Arabidopsis thaliana: one gene and its partner. The protein of the gene in region 2 interacts with the protein of the main gene of each other region in a pairwise test. Each region holds a gene or a part of one and is shown on either strand. Other genes may lie near its edges.

Region 1 (4,605 bases), on a different chromosome or scaffold from region 2:
ATTGGCTGTAAGTGTAACAGGTATATATATTGTTATATGTTTTGTATAATAGTATATCATTTGTAAAATTCATCATACTTCAGTATAATCGTAAATTTCTTAAAGAGAGGAGATCATTCTGTCTTGGAGAATGTCATGAAGTAATTTGGAATAAGATTCTACCAGAGTGCAACTCAACTCGACGGCGCCAAGGACATGTACCAGGCTACCAGCGCCCGTCAAATTTTATATTATGATAAAAAGTCAAACACTAATAAAACACAATCTATTAAATCCTTATAAATGAAATAAATACATGCTCTCTCAAAAACTTTCATTACCAAGAACAAAAAATTGAAAAAATTATCTCCTAGAGCTTTGGCATTGCCACCAACACTAACAATGTAGTCATGTGTTGTAAAACAGAGGATTAGTTTTGTTGTTCTCTGAACTGTAAGTATAATCGAGAGTTGGATTTGAAGCAAGCTATAGGAAATTAACATGGTCAAAACATTAAACAGGTGGTATACATTTGTAAACCACATTCTGGATATTCTTAGATCAAATAATATCACATCTTTTTGTAAAAAGTGTTTCCAACAAAAAAAAAAATTCACATTTTTGTATAGGTGAAAGTTAATATTTTTTTTGTTCACTAAATAACTACACTGGACCTATTCCTTTGGGCCTACTTTTTTTTTTTTTTTGGCCTATTCTTATCAACAATAAAAATAAAAATAAAAAAACCGAAACCACTCCAAGAGTCACACCGGATAAAAAAATAAATTGTCACAGTTACTCTTATTTTCAGCATCCGATACAATCAACACTACTTATCGTCGCCTTATTCTCAATATATCGTCGGTGTTGTTGTTTGTCATCACAGGGTGTATAATTTTCGTATCAATGTCACTGGAGACTGGGAAAATAACAGACCATATATCTAATAAAACCAATCAAAAGCCCATAGATAACAGAAAAATACATACTTATCAACCGACATTGGAAAATCCACACTTAAAAAGTGTACAACATCATTAGTTGTGGCCATGATAAGAGGATAATTCATAAAAATAACCAGAAAAGGAAAAACAAAACAACCTAAAAAAACAAGAAAAACAAAAGCAAATGCATTACTAAAAAAACATAAGGTGAGAAAAAGAAAGAACACAAAAAGATACTACTACTTTTTTTTTTTTTGTTGGCTTCCTTCCTAATAATAATCATAACGGCCGTCTCAATCACACAGATATCTTCAAGCCCTATCATCCGCCGCCGCCACGTCATCTTTAACATTTCCCATTTCCACCTCCATCTCTCCGCTGTCTTCCGTCGTCTTTACGCCGGAATATTCTCCCTTCTCCTTCTCCTCCTTCTTCATCTTCATATACATCCCGTATGTGTAAGATGAGAATCCCCAAATACATAGCACCGTCGACACAATCTTCACTCCACCAAACACGTCACCGTAAGCCACCACACCTCCTATCACATTCATCGCGAGCAACGCCGTCATGCAGATACCTCCGGTGATACCTGACGTCAAGTAAACCATCCCTGACGTGGCTGCGAAAGAGAGCTGCCACGTCACCACATTTGCTAGTATCGCAAACGTCCAATAAAATGTTGGTCCTTTGGTGAAAACATGGTTCGCTTCCTTAACCATTTCCTTAAACCCGCCTTCGCAAGCCATACCGATTGTCGCGAAAACCGTCGCTGCGAATTCCATCACCAGTTGCACCTCCATGACCATCGCGTAACAATAAACGGTACGGTATAGCTTCTCCGTCACGGGGAGGTAAAGAGCGAAGAGTAAACCGGCTCCGATCGTGGATACATACCCGATGAAATACTTGGTTTTGGTTAAACCGGACGGTTTATCTTTACTCGAATCAAGAGCCAACAAAACAGAGCTTAACGTCAACAGGACAACGCAGTTGAGGTTTGAGAAAGTGATCTTCTGTTTCACTATGATCCTAGACAAAATGAGAGTGAAGACGAGTTGTGTCGAGAGGAGAAGCGATGACGTGGACACCGGAAGGTACGAGGTTCCCCATGAGAAGAGGAAGTTGTTGAAACCGAGAACAAGCCCGATCAACACGGAGAAGATGAGATGGCGGAGCGTGAAGCGCGTGAAAGGACGGCGAGTGGTGGTTTTGAGAACGTAGTGAGGGAAGTAGATTAGGATGAGGAGGAGAGGGAAGCCAGCAGATTGAACCCACGTGGAGACCCACCGGCTCGAGCCACCGTAGACGAAATAGTACTTCGCGAGAAGGCTCGAAGCGATAGAGCCGAAGAAGAGAAAAAAGTAAGTCACGATGAGGAGAGTGAGAGATCTCTTAACCGGTGGTTTAACCATGTTCTCTTCTTGTTGAGGATCTGCGTTAACTCGACCATCACTCATTTTTGTCTCTTTATGTTTTGATTTATAATCTTTTGTTTATTTCTTGTAACTGTGATTTTGCATGAAGAGAGAAAGGAGGAAGAAGAAGAAGTGTCGAAAAAGCGTTGATGGTTCAGTCTCCAACAACACAATACACACTGATCACTCATGTATATATTGTGGATTTTATCGAAATCAAAGATACTAACACATTTATTATTATATTGATAGTCAAATAAATTCATTTTCAATTAATGTGATGCACTACATTCAGTCGTTACTAACAAAATTTCTAAAAAATACAAATATTTAGTTGGGTATCCAGCATCTCATTTCATATGAATATTCTTCTAGAGAGGGAATCTTCTATACAATGATAAAAAAATTTCCCTCAATAACAATGTTTTCATTAAGAAATATGAATTTATTATCTAAAATCTGTTGATATCTCTTTACCACAAAATAAAAGCAATTAATGTTATAAGCCTTTGTATTGACAAAAGAAGAAAACAAAATTGGTAATTTTGCTCAAAATCTTATCATCATGAGTTTATATAGAAGAAACTTTCCCTTTTATATATTTAATAGATAAACAATGTTTATCCATCAAAAATATTTCTATAACAATAAAATTTTCCATAGTTTTTAACCAACACTAGTAATATTTAGTATATATTTATTCAATAATATAACTTATATGATCATTTACTTTAACCAATAAAATTAAAACACATATAATTTATAACCTATTTGATAGATGTCAAAAAAAAAATCTTTGACTAAATATTTTAGAAACTAACTATAACCTATTTGACACATGTAATTTATCAACTAATTAATTCTCATAGGTTTTGGGCCAAGAACTTAATTAAATTAATAAACATTTATTTACACATACATAGTTCTAACCAGACGAACAAAAAAAATAGCGTTCACTAACTTAAAACTAATAATCATATGAAATTAAAGATCACAAGCTCGAACCAAACCATCTAATCTAAATTTAAATTTCAGTACAATTCATTTTTTTGGGTTACAAAATATTTTTCACCATAAACTTAATGGTTTTGATAATTTTGAATTACTTCACTATTGGAAAATACATACTCTATTCTTCAAAAGTATTTTCAAAAGAAGGAAAGAGATTTACTAAATACAAAACACATTTTTCCAGTTGACCACTAAAAAAAAAAATTTAATGTGTGTAAGAAAAAAAAAAAAAATGTGTGTAACGTTAAGTCTCCACGCATAAACACACACACACATTAATGTAAATATATAGTGAATGACATAAATATTTTAATAAATTTATTTTAACCGTTACCTCTTGATTAATAATTAATAAGATTTTATTTACTACTCTATAGTGGTGTGTATTTCATGTAACTATGTTTGTAGACAGGAAGTCTAATGCTTCGACTGGTGTTTTGAACAATATAATAATACTTTTTCAGCTAAGTTGAATTTTACTTTGGGTTTGTATTAATTTTCACCTATCAAGAAAAATGAGAGGATACAAAAATTTTAGTTATAAACATAGAAAAGAAGAGTAACCAAAGGATAATATTTCTCTTGTCTTTTTCTTCTATTTCCATTGTATAATCTAATTGGTCACATTTAATTGTATCCATTTATAACAAACAATCTTATCAAAATATTTTCGCGTAGACCCCTAGTTTCAGAAATAGAGTGCAGAGATTTTGTGGCAGCGATGAATGATCTAGGAAAACTAGATGTAGACTGTTTAGTGTGTAAATACAAAAATAAAGAGAAAACTCCTTAATATAAAATGAAATAAGATGTAATAAAAGGTTCAAATCTTACGAAATAGTAAGCTGTTTAAGAGAATAAAAATAAATTAGATTTACCATATAGCTCGCCTTTTTTAGTGTTATACGTATAAAAATAGTGTTTTGAAACTGAAAAATATTTCTCAGTTTCTTAGGGATTTTTGTTATGATAGTTCATATTTTTGAGAATTTTCATGAAATAGTTGTTCTATTATTTCGAGCATAAACATGAATCTTTGGTAACAACAAGTCAACTAAATAATCTTCATGATTTCTAAAACAGACATGATAAACCTACATAACTATAAAAGCAATAACAGGAAGCTAAATAATCGGAGGTCAAAGTTGTTAAAGAGATTTTACTGTTATGATCATGTCACCTATTGATTCTTTTGTATATATTCTTTAACTATTGGATAATTACAAATCTATTTAAAATCTATAAGTTAGTTT
Region 2 (4,031 bases):
AAGCCAGTGAAACATTAAGATAGCAAATCTCTCATATCTAGGACAGAAGAAGAAAACATCATCCTGAGGAATAAACTATTGTACAAAACCTGGGAAGAAGAGGGTTCTGTTTCTCGAGAGAGCAAGCAATGAAACCAGAAGATCCGAGATTGATGGTGACAGCACCAGGATAAACAGAGGAGAAATGGTTCGGCAAGAACCTATCTTTAAGAGCACAAACCGATCCACCCTCTTGACCCTGAAGAGCCTCGGGTGTTTTCGCCACGTTCTTGTCGAAAATCGCCAACATTTTCTTCTTCTTCCCGATCACGCACAGTGAAACAGAGCAACAGATCAAAATGGTAAAGTAAATGACTTTAGAATCGTTGAACAGCCACTTCTTTTATAAACAAATGGCAAAACTTCAATACGACTTTTTCGTTTCTTTGATAGAGAGAATCATCGAATTATTCGATTTTTCTTTTCCTCCACGTTTTGCAGATATTTGTATGATATTGTATATTACTTTGACTTTGTTTTTTCTTTCACTTTAGTGGTGGTTTTTATTTGGTATCATAATTAAGGATCTCATATCAATTTGTCTACGATAATAACAAGATAATGATATTCACTAATCAATGAATTCAGAAAAAAGCTTCATCAAGTTCTGCATTAGTAAACTTATAAAAGTGTAGAAACCAAAAACAAAAAGTAAGTCTTTCGCTATTGAAGCTTTTAAATTAACTAACACTGTTTAGGATTGTGTTTTGATCACCGATTCAAACATAAACTGGACACAAGACCTCGCTCTGAGGTTTTGCTATGTTCAAACTCTGTTGTATGCTACCGACTTGCTGAAGAGCTTGCGGATGTAGAGAACTTGAAGTCCACTAGCTGCGGCAAGGAAAATGTACTCTCCTACTGTGTAGAATATCACTCGCTTTCTCGTGCTCTCATTCGCTGCACCAAACACAGAACAATGTTAGATCGTATAAAGGTTGCATCTTTCGCCATTCAATGATGTCTGTCTAAAAACTCATTATATTGTCATACTGCATCTAAGCAAGTTACTCGGGTAATCAAGGGAATGAGGCTTGTAAGACGAATGGAGAAAACTTACTATGACGGTGACGAGTGTCACGAGCTTTCAAATACTTCTGCTCAGCAACAACAGATTCCAAAGCCTCTCTCAACTCAGCTATCTTAACATTTACCGGGTCCAAATGTTCTAAGAACCAAACAACAAAACAGAAAGAACATAACATCACAAAACAGCTCAAGCTCAATGCACAAAATACAGATTGCATCAATGAAGATGATCATACATAAGGGGAATGGAAACGAACCATCTTTGGCTAAGTCATGCTCATTAGGAATATGACCAACATGAATATAAAAGGAGACAGTTTCAGGAGTAGAATAAGGATTGTGGAAACAAAATTTGTACATTCCACTTTTTGGAGCCTTAAACTCAAACTTATCTCCAGATGTTCCCTTTAAAGTCTGTACAATGTTCCCAGCTGGTGACGTCACCTACACAAACACAATCCAATGAATCAATCAACACATTAACCCTAACCAAAATCCAATCCAATCCAATCAAAGATAGCAAATTTCCACAATCCCAACCAAACCCTAAATTGTCACATCCTTACAAAGATCAGATCAGGTCAAAATTAAGCATGAGAAACACCAATTTCACGATAAATCAAACATTGGGATTATCGAAGGAAACGTATCAAAGTTAAGAACTTTTGGGGTAAAAAGGTAAATTGAAAGATCGCTAACCGTGAAATCCAAACCAGGATGATCGGATCCCCAGAAGATATCATGATCGACGACGACGAAGTTACCGGAAACAGTGTCGCCTTCGTAAAGGACGTACTCTTGGACACATTCTTCGTCGTTCACCGTTACAGAGAGAGATGAGATTTGATTGATTGAATTCAATAGAATTAGACCTATCAATACAAAGACATGGATCTTCGCTTGTCGTCTCTCCATCTTTTTTTTTAGATCTTCTTCGATCAAAAAAATTCAGTTTGTTTTCTCGAGAGAATTCGCCGAGTAGAGGAAGAAGAAGAAGACAAAGAGGATTTTATTGCGACTTAGATTACCAAACCGGAAATTAAAACCGGTTTATGACGACACGGGGAGATTTTATTGGTCAACGGCTTTTGGTCATTAAAGAGAGTTAGAGAAAAATATTACTAATTTTAATGTAAGTAAAATACGATCTAAATTATGATTAAATTGATAAAATTTTACTTCAAAAAGTGTTTCAGTGATGTTTGTTTTTACAAAAAATTTTTGATTTTTGTATATATATTGGTTAATGACTTAATGTACGTTTTGGAAGTTTTTTTTATCTACGCCATTGATATGTGTTAAAAAGAATTGACTGTTATGTATGCATAATAATGTCAAGGTAGTTTTTATTTATTTGGTCAATAATGTCAAAGTACTTATATTCTAAGAAATCATTATTTCCGGGAACAAAATCTAAAGAATCATATGTTTTCTTCTTTGTGTTACCATGTAAAAGTGAATCCTTCCAAATTTCCTTAGGTTGAGAATGACAATTCTTCTTTCATATGTTATCAAAGACTAAAATGATCAGAATGTCAATTTGCAGATTTGGTCAACACTACATTAGAAACGAACATATATGAGCGAAAGACATGATTTGGTTAGGGAAGCTAGAGTTGATGGGCCTAATGAGCCCTATACGGCCCGTTATGAGATACGTATGACTGTAAGAGTAAATAGTCTTTTTTTTCTTAACAGTAAATAATCTTTATCTCCATTTAATTGTAAAGTTATTGACATTTTGAAACGACCGTAAATATTACCAAAAAACTGACGGAGTTAGGATCGGCCACGTAGAAAGGGACAAAGAGAGAACAGTCACGGACTCGGCCAGACTAAGTATGGGCCTGTCTGAATCCAAACTCAGCTAAGTTCCAAAAGCATAAAGAGAGATGTGTAATGAAATGAACGTATTCTAGAAACGAAAGCAATGTTATGCTTTGTTTTTGAGCCACATGTTTTTGGGAGATGGAGAGAATCTTTTTTACGTTTTTAACCTAACCCACTTGGCACTTGGCCAAAAAAGTGAGAAGAAACTGTGGCGAATGAGTAGGCCACGCCATGGACTTTGTTCCTTGTCCTTCAAAAGTTAAATTTATGTTATGCGTGGGGACAATCTAAGCAACGTGGTTCCTTTAAATATCGCAGCTTCCTCTTTTACACTTTTGGAGCCTACGTGTTTTGTTTTGGACCGGCCAAATACACGAGTCAGTCAGTTTAGAAATAATTTGGATGTCCAAAAATCTTGGAGATCCAAATAAAATAATTAGCATGTTTTAGTTCATAAGAATATGAAATGTAGATAAACTGTCCATATTAATTTTTCCATAGAATTGGCTTTTTATCGAGGTGATGTACTTAATGACTTTGTTGATTACTACTCGTATAACAATAAAGAATATGATACTATGTGAGACTTATAATGAATTTGGTGTGTGTTAATTAATCCAGTTGAAACAGTTTAATAACAAATCAGAATAAAAATTGTAGTAAGAAAATTTGAACGCTGATCCTTCAACCTAGATAGTGAACCTTTCAAATACTATATGATTCACGTGTAATGTTTTTGACCGTTGGTTATTTTTGTGTGAACTATATTAACTTATCAATATCGAAAGGCTAAATAAGTAAATAACTAAAAGAAAGTTCAGGAAACAACTCGACCTAATGACCTATCATTTCTGATCACCCGTCCTATAAATACATACGTAAGATCATTCGTTACTCATATCAAGCTTCTACACACGATCTAGCTTAAAGTTCTGTAACCTAAGCGATAATCACTTAGCTACTCCAAGTTTCTTCTTAATTTCTCTCACACTAGTAGTTCTAAGCTTTAGAAATGGCAACAGCATCGTTCAACATGCAATCAGTCTTCGCCGGTGGATTAACCACTCGCAAGATCAACACCAACAAGCTTTTCTCCGCCGGTAGCTTCCCTAACCTCAAGAGGAATTATCCGG

The links. Proteins that work in one complex are often made in the same cells at the same time.
Region 1: the proteins of AT3G22845 (region 2) and PUP4 interact in a protein complementation assay, tested with the Arabidopsis thaliana proteins (one large-scale study listed by BioGRID).

The regions. Positions count from the first base shown.
Region 1 is NC_003070.9:10,972,359-10,976,963, reverse strand, and holds PUP4 (purine permease 4), read right to left. Parts: upstream 2,520-4,605; 5' UTR 2,384-2,519; coding exon 1,235-2,383; 3' UTR 1,167-1,234; exon of another isoform or gene 901-1,166; intron 690-900; 3' UTR 666-689; downstream 1-665.
Region 2 is NC_003074.8:8,085,325-8,089,355, reverse strand, and holds AT3G22845 (emp24/gp25L/p24 family/GOLD family protein), read right to left. Parts: upstream 2,119-4,031; 5' UTR 1,984-2,118; coding exon 1,768-1,983; intron 1,513-1,767; coding exon 1,326-1,512; coding exon of another isoform or gene 1,208-1,325; coding exon 1,100-1,207; intron 940-1,099; coding exon 806-939; 3' UTR 532-805; downstream 1-531. Other genes in the region: AT3G22850 (aluminum induced protein with YGL and LRDR motifs), read right to left, coding at 90-289; ELIP1 (Chlorophyll A-B binding family protein), read left to right, coding at 3,911-4,031. UniProt on the Arabidopsis thaliana protein: Involved in vesicular protein trafficking. Mainly functions in the early secretory pathway but also in post-Golgi membranes.